Arabidopsis thaliana: one gene and its partner. Each later gene encodes a partner of the first gene's protein in a complex. Each region holds a gene or a part of one and is shown on either strand. Other genes may lie near its edges. A codon is read from its position in the direction of its gene.

Evidence for each region.
Region 2: the proteins of JAR1 (region 1) and GSTU20 are in contact, whole or in part, in a crystal structure (PDB 5ECH), measured with the Arabidopsis thaliana proteins. Residues at the interface, in NP_566071.1 of Arabidopsis thaliana: Leu37, Lys38, Asn39, Gln40, Ser41, Ala42, Ile43, Leu45, Gln46, Leu50, Asn51, Gly52, Asn53, Arg79, Asp84, Thr85, Ser86, Pro87, Ile88, Thr90, Gly91, His92, Pro93, Val94, Pro95, Thr114, Asp115, Glu116, Tyr395; in NP_177958.1 of Arabidopsis thaliana: Pro86 (codon at 2,197), Ser87 (codon at 2,200), Asp88 (codon at 2,203), Tyr90 (codon at 2,209), Ser137 (codon at 2,473), Glu138 (codon at 2,476), Leu139 (codon at 2,479), Gly140 (codon at 2,482), Asp141 (codon at 2,485), Lys142 (codon at 2,488), Pro143 (codon at 2,491), Tyr144 (codon at 2,494), Phe145 (codon at 2,497), Gly146 (codon at 2,500), Gly147 (codon at 2,503), Asp148 (codon at 2,506), Ser149 (codon at 2,509), Pro180 (codon at 2,602), Lys181 (codon at 2,605), Ala184 (codon at 2,614), Trp185 (codon at 2,617), Lys187 (codon at 2,623), Arg188 (codon at 2,626), Glu191 (codon at 2,635).

The regions. Positions count from the first base shown.
Region 1 is NC_003071.7:19,031,664-19,037,005, forward strand, and holds JAR1 (Auxin-responsive GH3 family protein), read left to right. Parts: upstream 1-2,077; 5' UTR 2,078-2,569; coding exon 2,570-2,601; intron 2,602-2,677; coding exon 2,678-2,977; intron 2,978-3,044; coding exon 3,045-3,146; intron 3,147-3,292; coding exon 3,293-4,080; intron 4,081-4,167; coding exon 4,168-4,706; 3' UTR 4,707-4,782; downstream 4,783-5,342. UniProt on the Arabidopsis thaliana protein: Catalyzes the synthesis of jasmonates-amino acid conjugates by adenylation; can use Ile and, in vitro at least, Val, Leu and Phe as conjugating amino acids on jasmonic acid (JA) and 9,10-dihydro-JA substrates, and to a lower extent, on 3-oxo-2-(2Z-pentenyl)-cyclopentane-1-butyric acid (OPC-4) and 12-hydroxy-JA (12-OH-JA).
Region 2 is NC_003070.9:29,483,343-29,487,145, reverse strand, and holds GSTU20 (glutathione S-transferase TAU 20), read left to right. Parts: upstream 1-1,756; 5' UTR 1,757-1,941; coding exon 1,942-2,256; intron 2,257-2,379; coding exon 2,380-2,718; 3' UTR 2,719-3,026; downstream 3,027-3,803. Other genes in the region: GSTU19 (glutathione S-transferase TAU 19), read left to right, coding at 143-487. UniProt on the Arabidopsis thaliana protein: Exhibits glutathione-dependent thiol transferase activities. Can use glutathione (GSH) and 1-chloro-2,4-dinitrobenzene (CDNB) as substrates. Involved in the regulation of far-red light influence on development.

The DNA of each region.
Region 1 (5,342 bases):
TGCGTCACTGATATGGAATATTTTTGTGATCTGTTGATGGACCTGACTTTAATTCTCGATTCTTAGGAATTAGGAAATGGCCAAGTTGACCAACAAAAAATGTGGCGGGTGTAGTGGAACCCACTCAAAAAAATCAGGCAACTTTCGTAATTTAATGAAACATTTGGGGGCGAAAATAAGGAAAACGTAAAGGATGTGACCGACAAATTATTTAGAGCCGAGACGTAATTGAATTGGACGGCACTGCCACGTGTAAGCACGAAACTCACTTGGGTCACAGTACATGCGGATCCAGAGGATCTTTTATACTAATCCAATTAGACTCATCCACGTGTCAAATTAGTTAAATTTAAGTTTTTTTTAGTCCGAAATTAAAGTTAGAATATTAAATTAATTTCCACACACAATCGTTTTTCTTAGTTATTTTACAACTAGCTAGTATAAACGATAACCAAAATGGATGACATCAAAATAATTAATTAGGCCAAAAATAATAATATCAGCAGTCAATAATAAAATTGTGTATGCATGTGTCATGGTACCATTGTTTCTTAAGCTCAAAACATTTATGATGAGCATGGAGGAATATGTGATTTATGTTGACTTGTCATGCATGTATACAATTTATAGCTTCTTCAGTCAACAAAAAAAATTGAAAATGTTAACTTCTCTAAAAGGAGCTTTTCCACAGATTTCAATCAGTTCATGATTTTCTCGATATAAAGTAGGCATGAAATTGACGAATGAAAATGTATGAATTGAAGAAACTATATAATGAAAAACAAGAATCATCAATAAAAATCAAATGTTTCTTACATAGTTTTTTTTTCTTCTTCAAGGAAATCAACTATGTTTTGTTTTTTTATACAATCAGATCATTAGATTAATCGTATGTTTTTGTAACTTAACTTATGTTGATCAGCTTCATTAAAATGAGAGTTTATTCTTGTAAACAAAAAAGTTAGTTGTGATGACTAATATGCGTTTCCGAAACGAAACCCTAAACCCTGCAATAGAAAAGGGATTGTTGAACTTAATTTGTTTTGTGCACGAGAAGATGGATGAAACAGAATTGTTAACCAAAAATCTTATGAACCTAATTCCAAAAATCTTATGAACCTCACAGACTTTGAGAATCGTTTAAATGACTAATGTAAAGATGTGCAAGCAACTGATATGAAGAATTGTTAACCATATATTGTGATATCTCATATTTGTATATATATTTGATATATACAAATATGTTTGTTCCAAATTTTGTTACAAACTACACAGCCAAATATAAGAAGCTATCAAATATTATTTCTTTAGCAAGTTTGAATTAATCAAACGCAGGTCATTATAAATTAAATCATAACAGGTGGTATAAAAACAACGTATTTTGTTAAATTTAAGTGATTGTAGTCTTAGAATTATATATAGGTCTTTTGTTAGAGATGAATAGTTGATTTCTGATGTATTTCCTAGTATTACATCATTAACGCAATGACCATATATAATGATATAGACAACGATGACAGAGAGGTGACTAAGTTAACATGTTATGATCCTCGTCTGAATAAACTAGAAGACTAGCCGCATGAAAATTCTTAGTTAACAAAAAATGATGTTGTCTATATGTATATCTACTACTAATATCATGAACCCAAATTACTCAAGAATTAAAGAAATAATATTCCTAACACAAGTTGGCTTTTCGTAAACTAAACTTACGGTATTGTTTTATGCATCGATCATAATGAATATTTTAAAACACTAAAACATGGTTAAAAAAAAAAGTAATCCACATGCGATTGTTTTGGATTGGTCCTTTTAAATAAACTAAAGTTTTGGCAGAGAGGAACCAAGTAAAAATGGGCATTATCTAAGAATGGTCCTAATTCCAAGAAGATATTACACTCTTTTACAGATTGGACCCAAACACTCATGTGAAGATGAAAAAATAAACTAAGAATACAAAAAGAAGAAAATAAAAGAAAAAATCAGAGATCCCGTCGGAGAAAGAAAAAGAGAAGATAGAGAGATACAAGTAACGGCTTCCACTAATCTTTCGCCTTCTACATTTTTGCTGCTCCGTCCAATTTTTGTGTCTATAAAATAAGACAGCTTCTTTCTCTTGACTTTCCAAATTCACTCAACTTTCTCTCACTCCTTTTTTCTCTCTCTCTCTCTATCCTCTACAGAGCTCGCAGCAACTAGCGCAGGTACTCTCTCTTTCTCACTCCTTAATCTAGATACTAAAGCTGATCATTTTCATATCTCTCAGTAATCCGTTTCGTCTGATCGGGTAAAACACACTTCCAATTACTCCGGTTCCGACCTCGTTGACTTTTTCTTCAGATAGATTCCAAAAAAGTTCTCATCTTTACTTGTTCAATCTCATAGATTCCGATTTGGGTCTGATTGTTACCTCTCCACAACTATTGGGTTCCTCTCAAAACCCTTCGATTTCTTGATCCATCCTTCCTTAATTTTCGATTCTCGAAAACCGTTTTCACAACTTTTTTTTATAAAAAAAAAAATCTGCAAAAAGATCTCTCTGATAAGAATTTTTAAAAACTTTCCCTTTATGGATGCTCTGAAACATAAAAGAGCTTTTAAGTTTATACCTTCCCTTATATTCTCTGTTTTCAAATCTGTCAGAATCTGATCACTCTTTTCTTTTTATCTACTTCAGGATGTTGGAGAAGGTTGAAACTTTCGACATGAACAGAGTCATTGATGAATTCGATGAAATGACTAGAAACGCTCATCAAGTCCAGAAACAAACTTTGAAAGAGATTCTTCTCAAGAACCAATCCGCCATTTACTTACAAAACTGTGGTCTCAATGGAAACGCTACTGACCCTGAAGAAGCTTTCAAATCTATGGTTCCTTTAGTCACTGATGTTGAATTAGAGCCTTACATCAAAAGAATGGTTGATGGTGACACTTCACCTATTCTCACTGGTCACCCTGTTCCTGCCATTTCCTTAAGGTAACTTCCTCTTTTTGCTTTATCATTGATGATTCTGTTTCTCAGTGTGTGTGTTTTTGATCATCAGCTCTGGAACTAGTCAAGGCCGTCCAAAGTTTATTCCTTTCACTGATGAATTAATGGAGAACACATTGCAACTGTTTCGCACTGCTTTTGCCTTCAGAAACAGGTATAGTTTAAATTTGTGTTTATGTTTCCCCCACACACATTTCACACTTTTCTCTGTTCCATCCATTGACATGAACAGAGAAACTAGTGATGTTGTTACTTACCACCGACTATGCCTTAACATGTGATGTTTTTCTTCTTGTACAGAGATTTTCCCATTGATGACAATGGCAAAGCTTTGCAATTTATCTTCAGCAGCAAGCAGTACATATCAACGGGAGGTGTCCCGGTTGGAACCGCAACCACAAACGTGTACCGCAACCCTAACTTCAAAGCTGGGATGAAATCTATAACGTCTCCTTCCTGTAGTCCCGACGAAGTTATCTTTAGTCCTGATGTCCATCAAGCCTTGTATTGCCATCTCTTATCCGGAATTCTCTTCAGAGATCAAGTTCAATACGTCTTTGCCGTCTTTGCTCACGGTCTAGTTCACGCTTTTAGAACCTTTGAACAGGTTTGGGAAGAGATTGTTACCGATATCAAAGATGGTGTCTTAAGCAACCGTATTACTGTCCCATCGGTCCGTACTGCAATGTCGAAGCTGCTCACACCTAACCCTGAGCTAGCTGAGACGATCCGCACCAAATGTATGAGTTTGAGCAACTGGTACGGATTGATTCCCGCGCTCTTCCCCAACGCAAAGTATGTTTACGGGATCATGACTGGCTCCATGGAGCCGTATGTGCCAAAGCTGAGACATTACGCGGGTGATCTACCTCTTGTGAGCCATGACTACGGTAGCTCGGAAGGATGGATTGCTGCTAATGTTACCCCAAGGTTATCTCCAGAGGAAGCTACATTTGCTGTGATTCCGAATCTCGGTTATTTCGAGTTTCTCCCTGTATCTGAAACAGGGGAAGGAGAGGAGAAACCGGTTGGTTTAACTCAAGTCAAGATTGGAGAAGAGTATGAAGTTGTCATCACAAATTACGCAGGTATTACCGTTGTTTTAAGGCTGGAATTAGCGTAGTATCGGTCTCGTAATGGATGCTTATAATTCTCATTTGATCCACATTGCACAGGGTTGTATCGATACCGGCTTGGAGATGTGGTAAAGGTCATTGGTTTCTACAACAACACTCCCCAACTAAAATTCATATGCAGGAGAAACCTGATTCTCTCGATCAACATCGACAAGAACACCGAAAGAGACCTTCAGCTTTCAGTAGAATCGGCTGCAAAGAGACTCTCAGAAGAAAAGATCGAGGTCATAGACTTCTCTAGCTACATCGATGTCTCGACAGATCCAGGACATTACGCTATCTTCTGGGAGATTTCAGGAGAAACAAACGAAGACGTTCTTCAAGATTGCTGCAACTGTTTAGACCGAGCATTCATCGATGCGGGTTACGTTAGTTCCCGGAAATGCAAGACTATTGGAGCCTTGGAGCTGAGAGTTGTCGCAAAAGGAACTTTCCGGAAGATTCAAGAACATTTTCTCGGGCTTGGTTCATCGGCTGGACAGTTTAAGATGCCAAGATGTGTGAAGCCAAGTAATGCTAAGGTTCTCCAAATTCTGTGTGAGAATGTGGTGAGTAGCTACTTCAGCACAGCGTTTTGACTCACTAAAATTGTGTGAAATCAAAGAAAGTGGTTTTTAGTTGTTTATTTCCGTCGTTGTTGTCTTTATTTGTCAATATAGTTTTCTTTACGTTATTTAATTGAGCATAAACTTTTTTTATCTTTATAGAATTTGTATCACAGTGGTTTTACTTTGCTTTTTGTGCAATTAGTGTTTGGGAAATAAATAGATTTCTGATGTGACGTTACCTTTATTATACTTGGAACAAAAAAATCAAGATTCGAATAATTGATTGTCTGTATGGAGAATAAAATTCGGATAATCTAATCTATCTCGATCTGACCTGAACCATATTGTGAAAATATTGTTTTATATTACGATATTCGAAACAATAATGTACGTGTTCGACAATTGAATTTTGGTGCTTCTCTCAAAAACAAGAAGAGATCATAAACAATTAAAAATTTAGAGATCATAAACTCTCTAAATACTTTGCCAAAACAAAAAAAAAACTCTCTAAATATAGATAGTGGTGTGATTTTGTGTGAGAAGCTATACGTGACTACGACATTATTAGTGCGACCGATGTTTATTTAGAGAGTTCTAATTACGAAAAAGTAATCATAGATCTACATATAGTCCACTAATTGAAGTCATTATCTTATAGTAGAATTT
Region 2 (3,803 bases), on another chromosome or scaffold:
GATAGTTTGATGATATGTTTCTTTTGCAATTTGGGGGTCTCTAGGACTGGTTTTGCTTTGTAGACATCATCTTTGAGCTTTGTTTGGGTTCGACTGAGTTCTGACATAGCTTGGTGTTATGTTACTCTGTGCAATGTTTCAGCTGTATGATGCTCAGAGGAAGGTGTGGGCGACAAAGGGTGAGGAACAAGAGGCAGGGAAGAAGGATTTCATTGAGATACTCAAGACTCTTGAATCTGAGCTTGGAGACAAACCTTACTTTAGTGGCGATGACTTTGGCTATGTAGACATTGCGTTGATTGGATTCTACACATGGTTTCCAGCATACGAGAAGTTTGCTAACTTCAGTATCGAATCTGAGGTTCCGAAACTGATTGCTTGGGTTAAGAAGTGTTTGCAGAGGGAGAGCGTGGCTAAGTCCTTGCCTGATCCTGAGAAGGTTACTGAATTCGTCTCTGAGCTCAGGAAGAAATTTGTACCTGAGTAAATATGTTTCTCTTGTCATATGGTTCGGACTTAAGATGCTCTCTGTTTTACTTTCGTGTGTTGTCTTTCTTAAATAATGCAGAGCATCTGTGAGGTGGTTTGAGTGTAGAGAATGTATGTCTTTGCTGTAGCAGATTCCTGTGTTTTCTGGATTTAATGGCTTGTCCTAGTTTTTATGCATTGTAACTATGAGTTTAATTAATGATCGTTAATCTATAATGATTATTAATTTGTTACTTTGATATGTAATTACGCCAATACGACTCTTCTACCTGACCAAGCTTATCACGCCAATGTTGCTGTAAAAGACAATAGTGCAGTTTGGCGATTAAAACCTCCAACATCGAGAATGGTAAGCCGGTCTGGATCTAATAAGCCCAAATTGGCATCCATAAGCCCAAATTGAAATTGGCATCCATAACTCCATATTGTAGTCAATTGGAAGTTATGTGGTTGATGTGATCATTAGTGTCGGTATGATCAGATTAGCCACGGGTTTAGTGTTTCTTGCCGAATTTGAATTCGGTAGATCAAATAACATTACTATGATCCGCACAGTTCATGGGATTTGAATTTGATTTACGATTACAACAACGATATTAACACAGAACTATCCTGTAATTTTTGGGATCGATTAGTAAATTTTAAAATATTATTTCAAAGGCTTTATATATATAAAGAATTTAGAGTATAAACATAGATAAAGCATTATGTATTTATAAATCTTATGCTGATATTGAAAAAATAATGGTGTATGTGATATATTTAATAGAGTGCAATACTCTCTCAATAAATTAGTATAGCTGTTATCACTCCTTGTGTAAATGCGTATTTCTTGTACATGCATGGTAAGTAGCTTGTCCTCGTATGTACCGGATTGTAATGTTTGATATCAAATCAAGGGAATCACGTGGTAAATGTACACCCACCTAACTGAGAGATAATAATACAAACAACTGTGAGTAGGTGGCCACGCCAAAAGTAGAGACTGATGCAGCAACTAAGCAAAGTATTACTTCACTCGATCAACTTTTTATTTTGTTACCTTCTTATAAATCAAGTCGATTTCTATATTGTCAAGTACTAATTCCATTCTAATCTCTTACATATACGTTTAAGGTTTGAATCAGAGCAAAAGATAATCACACTCTTTTATATTAAGTGATGTTTTCACTAGTTGCACACATATGACAATTATTTAACAAAGTTGCAAAATACATTTTAAATCGTTACGGGTAAAAGCTTACTGTTTAAAAGATTTATATATGGACCATAATATGCTTTGAAAAAAGCTGATGTGACGTAACGGGAATCAAAATCCTTTCCACATCATTTTCTTCCCCTATAAAACAACCGTCACTCACTCCTTCTCTACTATAACACACACTCGCTTGTTCACGCACAACAAAAAGCAAGAATATATACCACTTTGTGAACTTCAGAGATCCTATAGCAATGGCGAACCTACCGATTCTTTTGGATTACTGGCCAAGTATGTTCGGGATGAGGGCTAGAGTTGCGTTGCGAGAGAAAGGTGTTGAGTTTGAATACAGAGAGGAAGATTTCTCGAACAAGAGCCCTTTACTCCTCCAGAGTAATCCCATTCACAAGAAAATCCCGGTTCTGGTCCACAACGGTAAACCGGTATGTGAATCTCTTAACGTTGTCCAGTACGTCGACGAGGCTTGGCCCGAGAAGAACCCGTTCTTCCCTTCCGATCCTTACGGGAGAGCTCAGGCTCGATTCTGGGCTGATTTCGTGGACAAGAAGGTAACTAATCCCTTTTGTGCCCTAGATTTCTTAACTTGAGTCTGAAACAATGTGATTTAGGGTTATCTGAAAAAATGAGTTTGGTTCCTTCTGACATAATTCGATGTTCTGTAATGGATTCAGTTCACCGACGCCCAATTCAAGGTATGGGGGAAGAAAGGTGAGGAACAAGAAGCAGGCAAGAAGGAATTTATTGAGGCAGTGAAGATTCTTGAATCTGAGCTAGGAGATAAACCTTACTTTGGTGGAGATAGCTTTGGGTATGTAGACATTTCCTTGATTACATTCTCGAGTTGGTTCCAAGCCTATGAGAAGTTTGGTAACTTTAGCATCGAGTCAGAGAGTCCGAAACTGATCGCTTGGGCAAAGCGGTGCATGGAGAAAGAGAGTGTGTCTAAGTCTCTCCCTGACTCTGAGAAGATTGTTGCATATGCTGCTGAGTATAGGAAGAACAATCTCTGATTTGAATAATCTTGTTGTTCTCTTGTTGCTAAGCTGTGTTCTGTTTTTGTCTTTGTTTTTTTTTTTCCCCTAATAATGCGAGAGAGCCTTAGTGAATGTGTGTTGTGGTTTTTATGCATCCTAAGTATGGAATTTAAATAAAATTTGTTTCGACTTAAAGAGTCCAAGTATGAAGTCACATCCTTTTCAAAAGAACAAACACAAGAAAAAGTTGGAATTCTTTTTTCTTTTTCTACTTGTCTAGTACCGCGTATACGAAAATAGTATAACACCCAGCAATTAATAAAGTAGATGGCCACGTTACAATCATGCAAGTAGTGGCTCTGCAAACATAAGATAAAAAGAAATTGGGTTCTCAGCCACTTTTGGGAGGACATGCAGACTAAAGCACTCTCTAAACTCCGCTTAGAGGGAAAACAAAAAGACACCTCTGATCTATTATCACTATTATTAGGGTTTTTTTGTTTGTTTTTCTTTTCTTTGCTTCTTAAGAGATAATACATTGATCACTAACATAAAAGCTGGTCAGTTCCCTTACTTTGAGGCTTTGAGTGGAGACTCCACTACGGTGTGGCTCACACCAACAGTTTTTCTCTGATTATCCTTTTGTCATCAACTCACCATTCACCGAATAATATAATTTATACGTGTGATCTTTGTTTCGAAGATCAATACAATTCTATTGTAAAACATATGGTTTCGGTCATTCGATTGCTAGAAAAGAACTAGTCAAAGCTTCATATCGTTATTGCATTACTGTCATCACCATTCATAAGTTGTAAGAAGAATAGCAAAGAGGAAAATTTGTATTTTTCATCACCAAAAGAAAGATTTGCATACCTTTGATTTACACTCTGCAATTGTTTAAAAGGGGACTACTGATGATATTTTTAACAAGCTGAATTTAGTACAATATAGTGATATATACACCATTAGCAGCATTATAAAGCTACTCTCATTAAACTAAGAATGAAGGAAATAATAAACTTACCAAAATTTAAAATTGGTTTAATATGGTTGGCCAAAAGGTTCAGATGCTCTGTTTCGAGTAAAAATCACCGCCAAAGTAATAAAACATCCCTTTC